3 linked regions of the Arabidopsis thaliana genome follow. The protein of the gene in region 2 interacts with the protein of the main gene of each other region in a pairwise test. Each region holds a gene or a part of one and is shown on either strand. Other genes may lie near its edges.

Region 1 (7,168 bases), on a different chromosome or scaffold from region 2:
AAATACTTTTACCCTTAGTATACATATGCTATTTCTCTTACGCACTTCATTGAATAATAAATATTTTTACGTGTAAACTATTAAAAGATCTATTGTCAGATAAGTCAGAGGTCAGGACAACTATATAGAGAAGAATTGTTATTGAATTTCTCATGTGTTGTTGTTCGTTCAATTACGTTCCGACCAAAGAGCGAGTTCCAACGTATATCTCATCGTTTTGATACCCCACGTGATCGTTTTCACGTTACACAGTCAACGCCTCCAGAGCCAAGCCATCTTTTCTAGTACATTACATTTACATACTTAAATTCAAGCGCCGATCACCGATACGTTTTGAGGAGCTCATAATTAATCAAACGCAAGGAAAAAGAAGAAAAATAATTTCTATTTCATAAAAACTTTGGACAGTTTGGTTGAAAAGTTTGATCACTCGTTAAGATATTCACACATGTTAGATATGCACAATTTGTCTATAACGCAAAACTTATCATCAGCAACTATCTTACTACACAATCAATTGTCTAGACTAGTGCTTTCATTTGAAATGTTTCTTTCTCCACGCAAATTCTTTGTATCACTCCAAAAATAGTCCGAGTGATATCTTATTGGTGACAGATAAGTATATACTAAAATAAAGGAAAATTAAATTCTATTATAAGTTTGATTGTTCTTTACTCATCGAATTAAAATGCGACTACCTTCAAGCTTCAACCGAATATTACGTTCATAATTTTTTAACAAAAAAAATAACGTTCATAATTAACTTTACATACAAACAAAAACATAAATATATAAGACAAAAGAAATGAAATAAAAAGGTTATATGTGGAAGTATTAGTGCATTTGATCCAAAACAAAATAAAGAATTGTATGGAGATTTAGAAAAGCACAAGATCTAATCTAAACAGACTGCGCGATCTAGTAATACTTGACTAGTATATGATGAAATATTAGTGTAATTTAATAACATGCTTCACGACCATCGATAAATAGAAAAAACTAATCAATAGTAAATAATTGTACTTGCACATCCCAAAAATTTAATAAATGTAACAAAAACTACAAAGTCACGTACATGCATGTGCATATAATTAATTATACAAAGTTATCTAAATTTTCGACTATCATATGCTATAATTTAATTAATGCGACATTGCATGGTCCCATACACCTAAGCCTGACCTGGAATTAGTCTTTTTTCGTTCTTGTAATTATTCTTTTTCGTTTGAAAAAAAATCACCTTTGGGTCGTATCGCCTTTTATTTGCAAATACGTTTTGATAATAACTTAAAGCCCCAAAAGAACGTAGTAGAGTACTGTTACAGGCAAAGCAACCAGCATTCCGAATATAACCCTGAAAAATAATATCAAGTTTTTAGCTTAGGAGATCTCTGTAACTTTGTATAGTTTGAATACCAAATTAATATCTTATATATAGTATTAAAATGAAGTTTAAGAATGAAAATTAAATATTTTATAACTTAAATAACTTACGCAGTGCTGAGAATATCAGGATGGACGTTATATTCTTTGGCGAAAACAAAAGGAACGATTCCTTGAGGAAGAGCAGCCTTCAAAACATACAATTATATATATTCTTATCAATTATATTTTTCAAAGAAACCCAACATCACTAGCTAAAACATCAAACTGTAAGTTAGATTGAAATATATATAAGACTAAAGAGTAATCACCTGAACGATGGCGATATGGAGGAGATCACCTCGAATACCAATTGCTATTGAGGTGGCTGCGATCACGGCTGGTCCAGTCAAGAACCTTACGGCCATCGCAAACCCTGCTACTGATTTTCCGCACGCAATAATCTTTGGTTGCAATGCCATAAATAGACCTATATGTATCAATAATTAGCAAAAAAAAAAGCACCAAAGACTATAACTAAATATATATATGAAGGGAACTATACCAAGACTAAACATAGCCATTCCAAGACCAGCATCAGATAATATCGAAATCGATCCACTCATTATCGTTGGCATCTTTATATTCCACCTGTCCCATAAAATGATCAACAACATCAAGCAATTGCCCAAATATATTGTTATGTTATATGATTGTGACATTATTATTAGTACTTACTTGAAAGAGACAAGGGACCAAGCAAGGCCAAAGAGACTAGAGTAAGTGTTAGGGTTTCGAATGAGTTTTCTCCAAACCATTATCAGAATTAGTCTCGTCATCACACTCGCCGGCGGCATCTGCTGTTTCCTAGGACCGGGACCGCCGTCTTCCACGTCGCTACCTTTTTTGCCCATGTAAGGTGACTTTCCCCCGTTATTACCGTCTTGGTCCATTTCCACATGCCCTTTTCTTCCCGGTGACATGTTCTCTATCAGATTCTGCATCGCTGTCATCACCAAGTATGAATATAATTATAATTAAATATCACAGAAAATACTAAACTAAATTTATTATGACCTTTCTTCGACCAAAAAACTAACTTATAGAAAGCCGTACGGAACCAAATAAAAATCTACTTTAATTAGTTTAAAAGTTTTCATAAGTTTTGAAACTTTGAAAAAACTATAAAAAAAACTTAGAACCGATATTGAGCTTTATACATTTTTCCTAAAAGTTAAAAAAAAAATAGAAGCGTGGCAAGTAATGATAAAAAAAAATATGAAATAAGTTGGAGATTAATAAACCTTTAGTAGCGAGGTTGTCGTGAGGAGGAATAGAAACTTTAGGGTCGGTGGATACATCGGTGGAAGAACCTCTGGTCATAGCATTCTTCGCGTTGGCTTCCGACACCGGAGAAGCACTCGAACTCCACACGAACATGTTCATCTCCTTGTTTTGTCCTCCTACTCCTACTCCGCCACCGCTTCCTCCGCCACCACTTTCCTTTTTCTTGACTCCACTTGCTCCACTCGTTGACCCCGTGAACATTGGGTTCGGCGGTGGGTACGACGGAACTGACCATAAATTATAGAAAATTTTATTTTAAAACATTACATTATAATGAAAAAATCACATTTAAATTTCAAAATACAAAATTAATATTTTGTTTTCCAAAACTATAATCAGTTTAAAAACCTAAGAGTTTTGGAAGTGATATACTAAATTATTATTATTTTGTTAAAAGAAAAAAATAATTACGCAAAATTATTTGATGAACTCTTTACTTAACTTTTAAACCTTTTTAAACCTAATAATATCCCACTTATAATCACCGGTGACTGATGGAAAATAATAATAATATCTGAATCGATTCTTATATCTATTTAAATTTATAAAGAAGCAAAATATATTTTTTTAAAAAAATAAATAAAAAATAAATATATATATATATATATATTAAAAAATTCATACCACTATTATTGTTGTATAATTCCCCACTCATACTTCTGCCTCCTCTTCCTGCTTTCTTCGCCGTCTTCATAACTTCCTCATCAAAATTTGACGTTCTCGGCGTCACGCCTTTAGAAGACTGAAGTGAGTAAACATCTCCACCTGGACCAGCTCCAGCGCCGCCGTAGCTATTAGTGTAACCGTGACGAGGGCTTGGAGCTTTGCTTGCGTTAAACATTGCGTAGAAATCTGTCTGATTAAAGCTAGAAGCTCTCGGCGTCGGCTCTCGTGACGATTGAACGGAGTAAATCTCTACGCCGGTGAGATTTGAAGCTCGCGGCGTTATCATGGAGGAGTTAAGTCCTCCGCCGTGAGATTTGTTGAATGAAGAGATCATTGATGAGGCGGCACTTGATCTTCGAACCACCACGTGTAGCTTTCCGTCGTCTCCTATCTCCGCATCGGTCTAATGAAAGATAAATCCATATTTTTAGGTGATGAATTTCGAGTCGATGTGATTTAAACCGGATATAACCGAATCGGTACAAAAAGAATGAAAATTCAACTAGACTATAGTTAATAACTTGATATTTCTTATATTGTACTAATTATTAAATTCTGCGTGAATAATGTAACACGTCACTTTGAAGATTATTTTTGACTTCTGAAAAAGGAACTCAGACAAAACTCAAAATTTGTTATAGATTTACATAGGCAAAAAGGAATCCCAAAATGACATGTAGTCATGTCGTAACTAGTAACTACCCATTTTCTAGTTTACTTGAGTTAACCGGTCCGTTAATTTGAACAAACATATGAAAAAGGTCATCAGTGAAAAATTCATACCTGGAGGGGTTCACGGCCATTAAGAGAGATAACATCAGAGTCAACTCTGAAGGAAGTAATTGAACCAGCCGTCTCCGGGAACTGCTCGGAGATGAGAAGCTTAGCCCCACGGAACTCAAACAAGAAGAGCATTAATGTATACCATATGATGCTCTGAAGCACCACGATCTGCACCATTAGGTTACCGGAGAAGTCTCCGTACATCGCCCTAAGCAATGGGATTCCCATTACCAACGTGTTAGGCAGTGTTGATAGTGAAAAGAGCGTTATCATCCATTCTAGGCTTCCTCTGCGGCTAAACGCCTAAAAAATAATATCACAATATATACACAAACATGAGAATGTGTGTGTTTAGAGACACATATTACAAAAGAGCTAAAATGTTAACTAAAATATTTACCCGTGTTAAATGACATAGTTACTATACTATAAGCTTTCGATAACCAATATGTTTTCGAGTAAAAATTGACCATCATAGCAATTACTAGTAGACTACCATCACTTAATGAAGATAGATTATGTGCATAGAGAGATTATTGAAAGAGACGGGCCTGCCAAAGAAAGAGTGCGGCGAGGATAACGACTTTCTGAAGAGAATCAGCAGCGAGGAAGTGGTAATTCATTGCATAAGGATCATTGGAGGAGATGAAATGGAAAGAGAGAAGAGGAACCGCGAAAACCGCAACGAACCGGTTTATACCGGAACATTGGTCCGGTGTGAATATCCCCCACCACCGTACCGAACCATAGGCTAATATCATAGCAACGTATAGCGGCACCATAGCCGCTAAAACATCGTACATGTCTTTGCCGGTGATCATTTTGATTTACTTTTTCCGGCGAGAGAGAGAAGAAGAAGAAAAATAGAGATATAGATGAGTATATGTGGTGTGAAATAACGTATTTATGGACAAGGAAGTGAAGTTCCTTGAGACGATATTTAATTAATGTTGTTTGTGTTAAAATAATGGGATTCGTGTTCAAACATTGAATTATAGCTAAGCTTAGCTAGAGAGGATCGTTGGACATTTGAATATCAAATAAACAAAATATAAACCAAAATGCCTTTTTTCTTCCTCGGCATTTTGTGAATGGACAAATACTAATACAGTAATAATTTCAGTCTGAATCTTCTTTGGTCCATAATTTTTCGAAGTGCTCTAGATTTTTTCTTTTTTTCCGTTGATACTAGATATTCCTTCTATCTTTATTACTTCTGCAAAAAGCCGTTATATTTAATTTGAAGAATCTTATCTTGGGATAAGGAAGATTGGTTTACCTTCTGTCTCGTGGTCTAACATTATTTGTAAGTAAAATTAAATGCTTCAGAGATTATAAATTATAATTACACAAATGTTAGATTCAAAATATCTGTAGAGTCAGATACTTGGATCCACTTGTACGTGTAATACAAATTTGTAAATTTAGATTAGATTTTATATTAATAAGAAAACAAATTTGTAAATTTAGATTAGGTTTTATATTAATAAGAAAACAAAAACGATTTTTGTGTAAGCTATTGAGACGGCGAAGGTTGATGGACATGCACATGGTTTTTGCGAGCATCTTACTACACTTTCTGAGCGATCTGCGGTTCCCTGTAAACATCTGATTTTTAATCAGGAAAAATACAATTGTAATTAACTTATCTTTTAATCTTGAAACGGTGTATTTTTGTTTTTAAACGAAAATCTCTTAATGATTTATTATTAACTACAGTCAAAGACATTGGCAATTGGACCGATGAATAATTAGCCTCTCTTCCATATTTAATTGTCGTGTTTTCTTCATATTGCAATTGTTAACGTATTTATCACGCCACGTGATTGGGCGTTTGGGCCTAATGGACCTATGGATCTAACGATGGAGATACTAACTAGATTATCACTAAAATCTCTTTTGAAGTTCCAATATGTATCGAAGACATGGTTTTCCACAATCCGTAGCAAAGACTCCATCAATTCGTTGGTCTCTATGTCATCTACACGATCATCGCGATTTCTTATATCTCTTTAAAAAAAACGGTGAATTGACCAACAAGAAACCTAAAAAGAGTTTGTTCTTCTTTACATCTTCACAAGAGGAAGAAGAATAAAAGCCTTTAATAAGTGATCTCAGTTTTAAACTTTATCCATGTTTTTTTGTTAACTCATGAATTGAAAGAGAACAACCAAAGTGAATGTAGCCTGATAAAACAGGATGAAACTATTGAAAGATTCAAACTTTGTTTACAGAATCATCCTTCTTGGCCACTTCACTACTTTCCAACGGTGGTAAACTCTGCACAAAAGTAAAAAGCAATCAGATTACAAATCTCTCATGGGCAATTCATCGAACACCTTATGTGCATTACAATAAAAGAGAGATCACAGAGCCAGAGAACGAAATGAATGGTTTTAAACCGATCACGCTTATGGGCATTATCAAGAACGAAGAAAGTGAGCAAACCTAATACATTTGAGAACCCTAACATATGTACAGAAAGAGAAGGTGAAGCTTACGAGATCTGGTTTGTAGATGTTGTGGACAACGGAGGCTCCGGCGAGAAGGGAAGCAACGACGACGAGTGTTGACATTGCCAGAGACGGAGTTCCCGTCGGCAACTTTCCTTTATACGGTTTCTTCATCTTTGGCTCTGCTTTTTGACTGAGCGCGCGATATGAAGAGAAATTTGAAAAGCTTTTCGAAATTTTGAACCATCATCAACAAGTTTGCTTTTATAGCAAGTCGGCTTTTTATGATTTGAACGCGCAGCTCTCGCGCGTGAGTAACACGTCACCTCCCTGCCTGAATCTCATTATCTAAGGCCAAAGTTTTGAATTATATAATAAGGTCAAGCTACTCTAAAGAATTATGGAAATATCAAAACACTTTTTTGAGGATCGTTTATAAGCTTCAAGACCATCACTTGACAATCATGAGAGTTCAATACCTCAAACCTCATCAGATATGTCACATCATTCGGTACTGGTAATGATATCCTTGCAAAACATGAATTCAGTTGACATAT
Region 2 (6,144 bases):
ACAACGTGACGGCCATTATTGGCTTGGCCAAGTATTTACTATTTATATCCTTTTTCGTTGTATGGTTTATAATGAGAATAATGAAAAGAAAAAGTATCAAGAATTTTTCTTCTTTACTTTTTTTTTTTTCTTTTTTTTGAATAAAATGTAAAATTTATTCGAAAAAACGTGTTTACATCAAGTGTAACGGAAATTTAATCGCTCCTTTCTCTAACTTTATGGAACAAATATAACATCTCGTCTAGTAGTTTATAAGAATATTTAGAAGTTCTTACAATCGTTTTCGTTATTTTTTATTAAACACGAATGAAAATAGTGCTTATATTAAAATGTCATAGATGCGTTAAGTAGGCGATTATTTTACTTTTGTTTACATCAAAATTTTGCCACTAACTAAAGCAAAGTTAGAGCAAGATAATACACATTTATAACTATGTCAGATATCGAATCATCAACTCCAAAATTTCTCCTTTGACAAAAAAAAACTCCAAATTTTCTCTGTGCCTCAAGTCCTCAACGCAAATGAGCTGGACTGATTTTATGATGTGAAAACTTTGTTTTATGTATAGTAATTTCAGTTTACTTAGGCCCATATATTAGGCCCATAGATCACCCTGCCCATTTTGTTGGAAGTCCAGTTCTTATTTTCCTTCACATTCTCAACAACAACAAAAATGCATCATACTGAAAGAGAGAAACTTTAATTGCATTCCAGTCTAACAAAATATCATTAAACTAAAGAAAAACTCAGTAACAAAAATAACTAAGATCTATCCAATCAAAGACATGCATATATATATAAATCAATAAAAAATAACGCAGTAACTATTATAATCTTGGCATACAAAAATACATAACCTACCTCTAACATTTTAAACAAGAACACAAAAAACTTAAAATTGAGTTGTAGAAGTTTAAAAGGTTGATCCATATCCTTTTTTACCAGCTCACATGTTACTTTGAGCATTTGCATCGGTTTACCGATGAATCTAATCGGTTCCTTGGATACCAAACTTTCATCAACCTGCATCATTCAGGAACAACTTCTTGTTTCTTGTTGCTCCATTTGTCCAACCTTTTGGAAGCTTCTTCCACCTGAAACAAATTAAAATAACTATCAAATCAATGAAAATATTTACGTAAACACTTAGCGCCTACAGGGCAGCTTAAAGTTTAGCAAACTTACTTCTTTTGTCCAATCTGTTCTAAACGTGACCCACGCCAAAATAAACGTTTGTATAACCGTACCACCGATCATCCCCGTCCATATACCCTATAGCATCATTAGCCTTAAATTTGTTATTCTAATATTCAATACAAGAATAATGGTAACTAATTAAAATGAAAGTTAAGAAAACTATCTTGCCTTGGCACCGAAGTTAAAGTAAAACCCAAAGAGAGCCCCAAGAGGAATTCCAATAATGTAGTAACATCCAACGTTAACCTTCGCCACAAACGTTTGCCAACCGCATCCAACCGCCACACCTATAATAAAATTTTCCCAATTGTTCAAAAAAAAAAAAAAAATCTTCGCTTATTCGGTTTGCGAAATTGCGGTGTATCGATCAGAAGGGTTTACCAGAGAGGACAGGTTGGATTCCGTTAAGGACAAGTGTTACGGCAAGAAGCGGACAGAGATCAGAAACAGCGTCCGAGACTTCTTTACCCTCAGTGAAAGCATAGCTTAAAACATCGCGGCACGCTAAAATAACAATGGCTAGGATCACACAAGTGATTAACGAATAAATGTTAACGATGATCACAGAAAAAGCTGCTGATTTAGGGTTCCCAGCTCCAAGTTCATTGCTCACTCTTACACTGTATCAACATCATAACACAATTTTTGTCACACTTCATCAGATTTAATAGGAGAAAAAGAGCTTATGGTTCAGTATGATTTAGCATTATTTAAGTGTGTAAAATGTAAGAATCCACATATTTTTATGGGGGTAGGTAAATTGGATAGAGACGTTTTCTATTTTATATGATTTAAATTTAGTGAAAACGATCATGCAAGTGGTGAGTTGGGACAAAACAGACCTTATCGCTGCATTGAATCCAACAGATATCATGAACACCCACCCTGAAATCGTCATGCTGTAACACAAAAACAAATAATTTAATATCGTACACTATCAAAAGCTAGTATGAAACCATTGTTGCTTGTAATGTTTTTACAACATTTTAAAATTGTAACTTTTGACTTGACATGAAAATCAAAGATATCATATTATAAAGATGGGAATTCCATACTGATTTGGGGCAACTACCTAAATTTGGTGGCTGCTTCTGTTTGGTAACAGAGGAAAGAGAACTTTTGGAAAACCTAAAAAATCTAGTACTTACGACTCAGATAAATCTTAAACTAATTAGTACTAGAAGAATATTGTATAATATCTTCGACAAAATAAAGAAGTAGATGCAGATTGGACGAAGAAATAATGTTTTATTCGATTCCATATGAGATAGTTTCATATGGTCATACAGAAATTGTTAAAGTTAAATTCTACTGCTTAAGAAGAAGACAAAAACAAATTCCAAAGAAAACCAAAACGAGAAGACTGAAAAGAAGAAATGTGATGTGACCATAGATTGTCTGTAGCGGAAGAAGTGTCAAATTTGTTCGCCATTAACTTAACTTTCATATCTAGTATCTACAACCAAACTTTGCTTTGTACTCCCTACAAAAAGTTTTGTTCTATGCTTTTCATATCGAATAATAATAATACTAAAAGTTTTGTCGAATCATTACTAGAAAAATTCATGGAAAAGTCTATAATCATACATATTCACGTGGAGTTTCAGGATATATAAAAAAGTGTTTTCTTGTAGAAACCAATAACTACTACCTATGATAAAACATAAATAAAATATCATGTGGAAGACAAATTAGACTAGAATAGGTAAAATGGAAACCAAAGAGGCAAAAACACTAGAATAGATAAACTTAAATTATTATTTTTTATGGTCAATAGGTGAAATTAATTTAGTAAACGAAATTAACTAGTAAAAATAAATTTTAAAGGAAATAATTAAATTGAGTTTGACTAAAAATAGGACTTACCAAATAGAGAGTGAATCAAGAGCAAGTTCAGGATTCTCGAGAAGTCCGGCAAGAAGAACGAGAATCTGAAAATACCAAGTCTCAAGGCAAAGCATCACGGCAGAAGCGGCGGAGAGTTTAAAGAAACTCCACAAACCCGAGAAAGCTTGAACACTAAAACCTCTCCACGTCTCACGACACCTCTCACTCGTCACAATATAAACAAACTGAGCCACGACTATAATCCACCACGACAAGCTAAGCACAAGCGACGCACCAAGAAGTCCCATACCAAGCTTGTAAACCGCGAGCCAACTTAAAAGAAGGTGAACAAAGAGCGTAGCCGTTGAGATATAAGCACTTGGAGCTACTATGCTTTGTGATTGGAGAAATTTTTGTATTGGAAAGTTCGCTGCGTAGGCAAAGATTTGAGGGATAAGACCGTAGACGAAGAGCGATGCGGCCGAAGCGATTGCGGGAGATTCACCGAGGAAGAGAAGGATTGGTTCGGAGAAAACGTAGATTAAAGTAAGGAGGAGGCCGGTGAGTGTTAGTAATACGGTTGATCTTTGGAGATAAACTCCAAGCATCTCGTATTTTCTACCACCGTACGCTTGACCACATAACGTCTCCACTGCACTCCCCATGCCTAGCTATCATCGAAAAAAACTCGAATTTTAAAGATGTGAAAAAAAACATAGCATATAGACGAAAATGATATAAAACGTAACATTCATACAAAAAATATATACAAGAAGAGGAGTTTTTGGTTGTTACCATGAGACCGTAAGCGAAGACTTGAATACCGGTGTTACCAAGAGAAGCGGCGGCGAGTTCGAGGTTACCGAGATGGCCGGAGAAGATTTGAGTAGACATGGACATGAGGTAGTTAATCATGTAGACGATGACGGCTGGTGCAGCGAGGTTAAAGAGAAGCTTTGATTCGATTATGGTGGCTTTACGTAGGCGGAGAAACAGAGGAGTTTCTACGTCGGAGAGGACAGTTTCTAGCTCGCCGTTGGTTGACTCCGGCGGAGATGGAGATGGTTGAGGATGGAGAAGCGGTTGGTGTACGCCGTCGTTTGGAGACGAGTCCATGATGATGATGGAGATTTGCTCTCTCTCTCTCTCTTTTTTTTTTTTTTGGTTTGTTGTTTTGTTTGTGGTGTTATCGCTTGAGGATGTGTGTGGCTAGTGTTGTGTATAAGTGTATATAGGTCCTATCGAGGGTGGCGAGTGACGGCTAATGATAGTTACAAATTTGTATGTTAATCATTGTATTATTTCTACCGAGAGAGTCCACGTCTCTCATTAAAAACACCAAAGGTTATTAATTATTAGAATTCTTTCTTTCGTTTTTAGTCAAAGATTGTATAACATTTCTATGGATATCGTAATTAACTTTACAAGATATCTATATGTAAAATGCAAATAGTTTTCTTTACAATATTTTGAGTTATTTCGATGACATATATTGGTTAATTAGTATTCATAATTTTAAAGAATAAATAACGTACAATCACATTTTAAAAATGTGATTAATTTCAAATTCAATGTTATTTAATTTATATGATGTCAAAAAAGAATTGTTATCTAATTTATATACCACACATTTGCTCATGGATATAGGTTTCAATACTATACACAAATCTGTTTATTTATTATATACTAATTTGCTTAAATTTTTTGAACAGAAAAAGACAAATAATAATGTAAAACTGTTTTGATACTTCAGACAAAATGAAAATATCTTTGAAACATGAAAAATTTGTTCCATGAAAAAGGAAACTGTTTATTCTTATCCTTATAAGGAAAATAATCTTTCAAGAAAGCAAATGATTAATCAAATTGGGGAAAAAAAAATGATATTGAGTGGGATCTTCAAATACAACAAAACACCGTATGCCAAAAACTCATTTTGTACATGGCCAAAACAAAATTATGGTTTACCGGGCCAGTTACACCCACACCCCCTTCTTAAATTGTTGGTCCGCCCACACAAGGTATAGTAGTCGTAAAAGCAAGCGTACTAGTATAAAAATGATATTTATGGATACGATTCCAAATAAAATTGTTCACCAATGGTTATATGGTCTACTGCGAGTACACGTTTCTCTCTTTCATTCATTCTTTCTCAGTCATTAATTCCAACCCAATGATATAGCTACTACGTTTAATATTCATATTAAATGAAAATTAAAGTAACATCAATGATTATAAATGCTTGCCAGTTGCCCCCATGGTTTAATTCCTAAGAATGGGCTATCGTATGCAATAAAAAGAAAGGTAAACAACTAAACACCAATGGTTATATCGGTTGTTTTGAAAAATCTTCACGAGCACGATTTTAGGAAGATAAAAAAATTTGAGTGTTCGAATAATTGCCACTTTCACATTCAATGTTTTTCTGCGTATTAGCATGCAGGCATATACTTCATGGGTCATCATGGCAGCTTAGCTCCTTTTGCCGTTAATAGATATCAACTCTATTGGAGATATGTGTAATCCGATTAGGATTAGTACAATATCTTTGATGATAGAGTTTCTAACCTATATTTTAGGGATTTATGTTTATCTCTTGATAGAGATCATTGTGTATAAATACCATAGTTAATGAATCAATAAAAGCAAGTCAGTTCAATACCTTATTCTACACCCAACTATGACATCTTCTCTAGTCAATAGAATAGTAGAGATCAAAACCAAGCTTGCAAAAGTTTAATTCGCTTAAAAATTAGATATAATCTTTAGAAATCGAATGTATCAGATTCGAGTCATATAGCAAAGACAATAGCAGTGTAAATGATAGACCCAAACTTGGTACTACAGCTTTTAATGAAGTTATTTGGCTCAAATAAACCCAACCAAAAAAGTAGCTACGTTTTATCAGTAATAGCTGCAACTTGTATCTATATTCTGTGCAATATAAATGAGAAAAACGCGAGGTTACTTTTTCCTTTCAAAAGTTTAGCTATTTGCAAAACGTACGAAAAAGCCTTAAACGGAAAAGACAAATTAGAACGAGTTTATAAAGTTTAAAAAGCCATTCAGTCAGGAGAGAAAAACTCAAAAAAGTTGAAACTTAGTTACCAATTGTTGCC
Region 3 (3,934 bases), on a different chromosome or scaffold from region 2:
AAGATCTTCGTCGTCTCGATGAAGAAGCTCTATGTTCATCCATTTCATATCCAAAAACCGCCATTTTGTTTTGGTTTCAGGTTTTGAAACAACTGTGGCCTTTTTTGTGAGCTAAGGTCTAAGATTCATGGTTTATTATATAGTTCCGAACTTTTAGGATAAGAACGGTTTTGTTCTTGGATTCATAAAGAAGAAAGCGATTTGAGAAAAAACAGGAAAGGTATGGCTTTAGCATATTGCAAAAACTCATCATTTTATTGCTACATGAATAAATTAGTTTTATATCTTGTAGAGAATCTTTCTTAACTTGAGTTAATGATCAAAAATGTATTCCAAAAAGTTATCAACATTTTGATCATAGCTAAACCCTTTCCCATGCAAGTATATTCCAAGTTGAGGCTAGATATGTTAGGAATGCAATCATTGGGCCTCTTCGTAGGCCCAGTCCATTATGTGCCCATATTGTTTTCATGTCTAAACTTTTAGCAGATGATAACAATCTAGATGAGGTCAAGTGGGAAGCTAAGATGATGACTGAGCCAAACCAAATTTCTCATAGACATACATAAGCCAACATTATATCTGACGACACAAGTTTATATTGACAATTAACAAACAACTATTTTTTTTATAGTTTTACCCTGTTTTTAAAAGCATAGCCAACATAAGACCAAACAGAAACTGGTTTAGACCTTGTTAAACTCGGTGTTTTGTTGCTTTGGAGCATCTGAAGGAGTGGTCATACCAATGTTAATGCCATCGTTCTGATGCTTCTCCCATCCGCCAGTATCAGCCTTAGAATGAGCCAAGTAGTAAAGAATGGTTGCAATCAAAGACATGAGAGTGAAAGCAGCTCCAGCAGCAAAGACTCCAACGGGTAAGACGGCACACGAAAGCTCTTTCCCTTTGTAAATGCCTTCACTTTTAGTGTGGTACGCGTTCCTCGCTGATCCACCCAACAAGCACGCCTCAGCTCCTAAAAAGCTTACCCTAAAGATACACAAAACCAATGACTAAGACAAACGTACTCAAACATAGAGATGAACTAACTAGTTCTTATTCTTGTAAGGTCGTTTCTTTTCTTATAGAATCCACATAGTTTGGTAAGATAACAAACTGTAAAACCAAACATATAGAATATTCAATTGTGACCATGACGAAGCCTACCACTATCATTGTCTTTAGATAGAGACATCCACAACTCACAAGTAAGAGTTAAGGACGTAAATAAGAAGTCAAGTTTGCAACAAAGTGACTTATTAATCATAAATCACATAACCAAATTTCAATACCCACTAATCTAAAAGTGTTTACTTTTCATGTTCACAATACTGAAAAGAGTTGGAAAAAACTTTCCTTTTCACTTCAAAGTTAAAACCCATAAATATACACAATCAAATCACAAATTAGTTCATTCCAAATCTAACTTAAAAGCCCCTAATCAGAAATTTCAAATTTTGGTTACCAAATACCACTTAAATCAACTCAATTTCAAATCTTGATGTACAAAAGATTCAATTAGAGAGTAAAGGAATAAACTTTACCAAGAAACAACGAAGAAGACAATAGCCCAGACAGTGTAAGAAGTACCAGTAACAAGACCCTTTCCAAAACAGAGACACTTAGTAACACCGTTAACCACCGCTTGGCTAACAAGAAGCAACCCAAACGCCGACATACCGTACACTGTCGACGCCTCAGTTCCGTACTTACAAATAGTCTTCTCATCGTACTGATCCGGAACCGGCACAGCCTGAATAAACAAGAAAACACGAATTCACAACACAAATCGGAAAAATGACAAATTTTAGTAAGAGAGAGATAAATTGGGTACGGTGCTACGGCGACGCTCGGCACCGAAGGCGAAGACGAAAGCAAGGAGGTGAAGAGCAGTGACGACGGTGAGGATTGAAACTGAAACCGCCATTGATTTGGTTTTCGTGCTTCTTTCTCTCTTTACTCTTTTGTCTTTTATCTTCAGAGAGCTTTGGGCAAGTGAAGAAACGTTAAAGTGTCCTTATAACACTGATATTTGTTTTCTCTTTTTCTCTTTTTTTAGAATTTTGAACACTAATATTTATGACTTAATTGTCAAAGTGTCTCCATCTAATCATTATATCTGGTTACTCTTTTTTTATTTTTTGGATGTGGTTTACAAATGTTTAGTGGAGAAATTTTGAGAGATATTTGATTAAGAGTAAGTAATTAAATGGGTATATTTATACATATTGTAGCTTTAAGTGGTAGCACAACCACCAGCTCAAGCATCAGAACAACAAGAAATCGACTTTGCACGCTCCATCCTTTGCCTTCAAACCCCGAAATCATGATTAGATTTAGAAACATAGTTGGAAGACGACCTTGCTAAAAATCAAAGACTCAGTAATTTGTCATTAAATTACTACGACGTAACAAAAAATAATATGATGTCAATTGAGACAAAACATATCTTTTAATTTTAGAGAGCACATGAAGTCATGCCAATGCTTCTTTGACAGATATGATGCCTTGTTCGTGGTTATCTATAGTAAATAATATTTGTTGACAAAAATATATTTCAATGATAATAGTTATAATGACAATTGACTATAATTTTGGAAGTAAAGTAGTAAACTATTATTTAAAAAAAATAAAAAATTAGATTTAGGATCAATACTAGAGCATCTACTACTTGGTCATAAGTTTTATTAGAACTGATTTTAATAGAAATACTAACTTTGGTCAAATTAAAAGTGTTTGACTACATTTTAATTAAAGACTGAGAAACAAATTAACAAAAAAAGAAAACTTATGGTACGATTAAGAACCTGAAAAACTTTTAGAATCTCATACATATTGTTTATGATTAACATACATCTATATTTATGATATGAATATGCATTATACAAAAACATATTAAATTTATAAACTACTTTTAATCTTGTTGTTCTCCTTTTTCACCATTATTCATACATCTTTATTCATCTCTTCGTTAATCCAATCCATGCATTCACGATAATCATCAAAGTTATCGTCTATCTTCATATCATCACTTTGATTCACAGATTCTATATTATGATATTCGCATGACTCCATCATATTATTTTCCTCAGAAAAACCATTGTCTTCTAACCAAGAGAATATATCCTTCTCATTGGCATCAATGTCAAAAGAAATCAGATCTTCAATCGAAATATCGTAAAGAGCATCGTTCATCTCTTCCATATTGGTTTCCAAAGGAACCATATTATCCAAAGCATCGTAACTTGTTTCACAAGAAACCAAACTCTTTTGGATGGTATTGGTTTCGAGTGAAGTTATATCTTCAGGGAAAACCCAATCTAACGGATTTGAATAATTGGTTTCTAGAATGGCCATATTAGTTTTGGGAGGGATTTCACTATGTATTTCACAAGAAACAAAGCCCACATTATTTGTATTAGTTTCTTCTTGAGGGGGAATACTTCCTCCAGAATAACCCATGCCCATATGGTTTATATCTACTTCAGAGGGAATCATATTTTCAAAAGGAACATAACCTACTTGTGAAGAAACCCAACCTATCTCGTTTGTATGTTTTTCAGGAAAATTTATGTTCATGTTGGTTTCAGGAAGAACGTAATTTGCTGTTGAAGGATCCCAATCCATATGGTTCATATTGATATCATGGTGACTAAGGTTTTCTATAAATGAAACCCAATCCATCTTGTCTATATCGGTATCCAAAAGGTTCATGGTAGGGTTTGGAAGAAATCTATTGTTTTCCTTCATAAGGCACTCATCTACTAGAGGATCGAAAGAATCTAGTATAGAAGTAAAATCTAAATCTATTTGGTTTACATCAGTTTCAAGGATGGATCTATGTGGGTGACATTGATTAGGATCATACTGCGGAATAGAAATCCTTTCGGATTCCATCTGAGATGTGCATGTGTTAGATGCACCATCATTCGAT

Evidence for each region. The genes of interacting proteins can lie anywhere in the genome.
Region 1: the proteins of AT3G21690 (region 2) and EIR1 interact in a protein complementation assay, tested with the Arabidopsis thaliana proteins (one large-scale study listed by BioGRID).
Region 3: the proteins of AT3G21690 (region 2) and AT1G68220 interact in a protein complementation assay, tested with the Arabidopsis thaliana proteins (one large-scale study listed by BioGRID).

What each region holds. Positions count from the first base shown.
Region 1 is NC_003076.8:23,098,576-23,105,743, reverse strand, and holds EIR1 (Auxin efflux carrier family protein), read right to left. Parts: upstream 5,229-7,168; 5' UTR 4,980-5,228; coding exon 4,710-4,979; exon of another isoform or gene 4,559-4,709; intron 4,462-4,558; coding exon 4,159-4,461; intron 3,779-4,158; coding exon 3,334-3,778; intron 2,937-3,333; coding exon 2,667-2,936; intron 2,369-2,666; coding exon 2,101-2,368; intron 2,014-2,100; coding exon 1,928-2,013; intron 1,853-1,927; coding exon 1,695-1,852; intron 1,572-1,694; coding exon 1,495-1,571; intron 1,355-1,494; coding exon 1,288-1,354; 3' UTR 516-1,287; downstream 1-515. Other genes in the region: AT5G57080 (uncharacterized protein), read right to left, coding at 6,376-6,438, 6,660-6,785. UniProt on the Arabidopsis thaliana protein: Acts as a component of the auxin efflux carrier. Seems to be involved in the root-specific auxin transport, and mediates the root gravitropism. Its particular localization suggests a role in the translocation of auxin towards the elongation zone.
Region 2 is NC_003074.8:7,636,747-7,642,890, reverse strand, and holds AT3G21690 (MATE efflux family protein), read right to left. Parts: upstream 4,308-6,144; 5' UTR 4,142-4,307; coding exon 3,821-4,141; intron 3,697-3,820; coding exon 3,065-3,696; intron 2,098-3,064; coding exon 2,041-2,097; intron 1,819-2,040; coding exon 1,580-1,818; intron 1,486-1,579; coding exon 1,367-1,485; intron 1,274-1,366; coding exon 1,187-1,273; intron 1,096-1,186; coding exon 1,030-1,095; 3' UTR 502-1,029; downstream 1-501.
Region 3 is NC_003070.9:25,568,315-25,572,248, reverse strand, and holds AT1G68220 (aerobic coproporphyrinogen-III oxidase (DUF1218)), read right to left. Parts: upstream 2,158-3,934; 5' UTR 1,928-2,157; coding exon 1,835-1,927; intron 1,754-1,834; coding exon 1,545-1,753; intron 991-1,544; coding exon 687-990; 3' UTR 516-686; downstream 1-515. Other genes in the region: AT1G68230 (Reticulon family protein), read right to left, coding at 1-64; APRR6 (pseudo-response regulator 6), read right to left, coding at 2,947-3,934.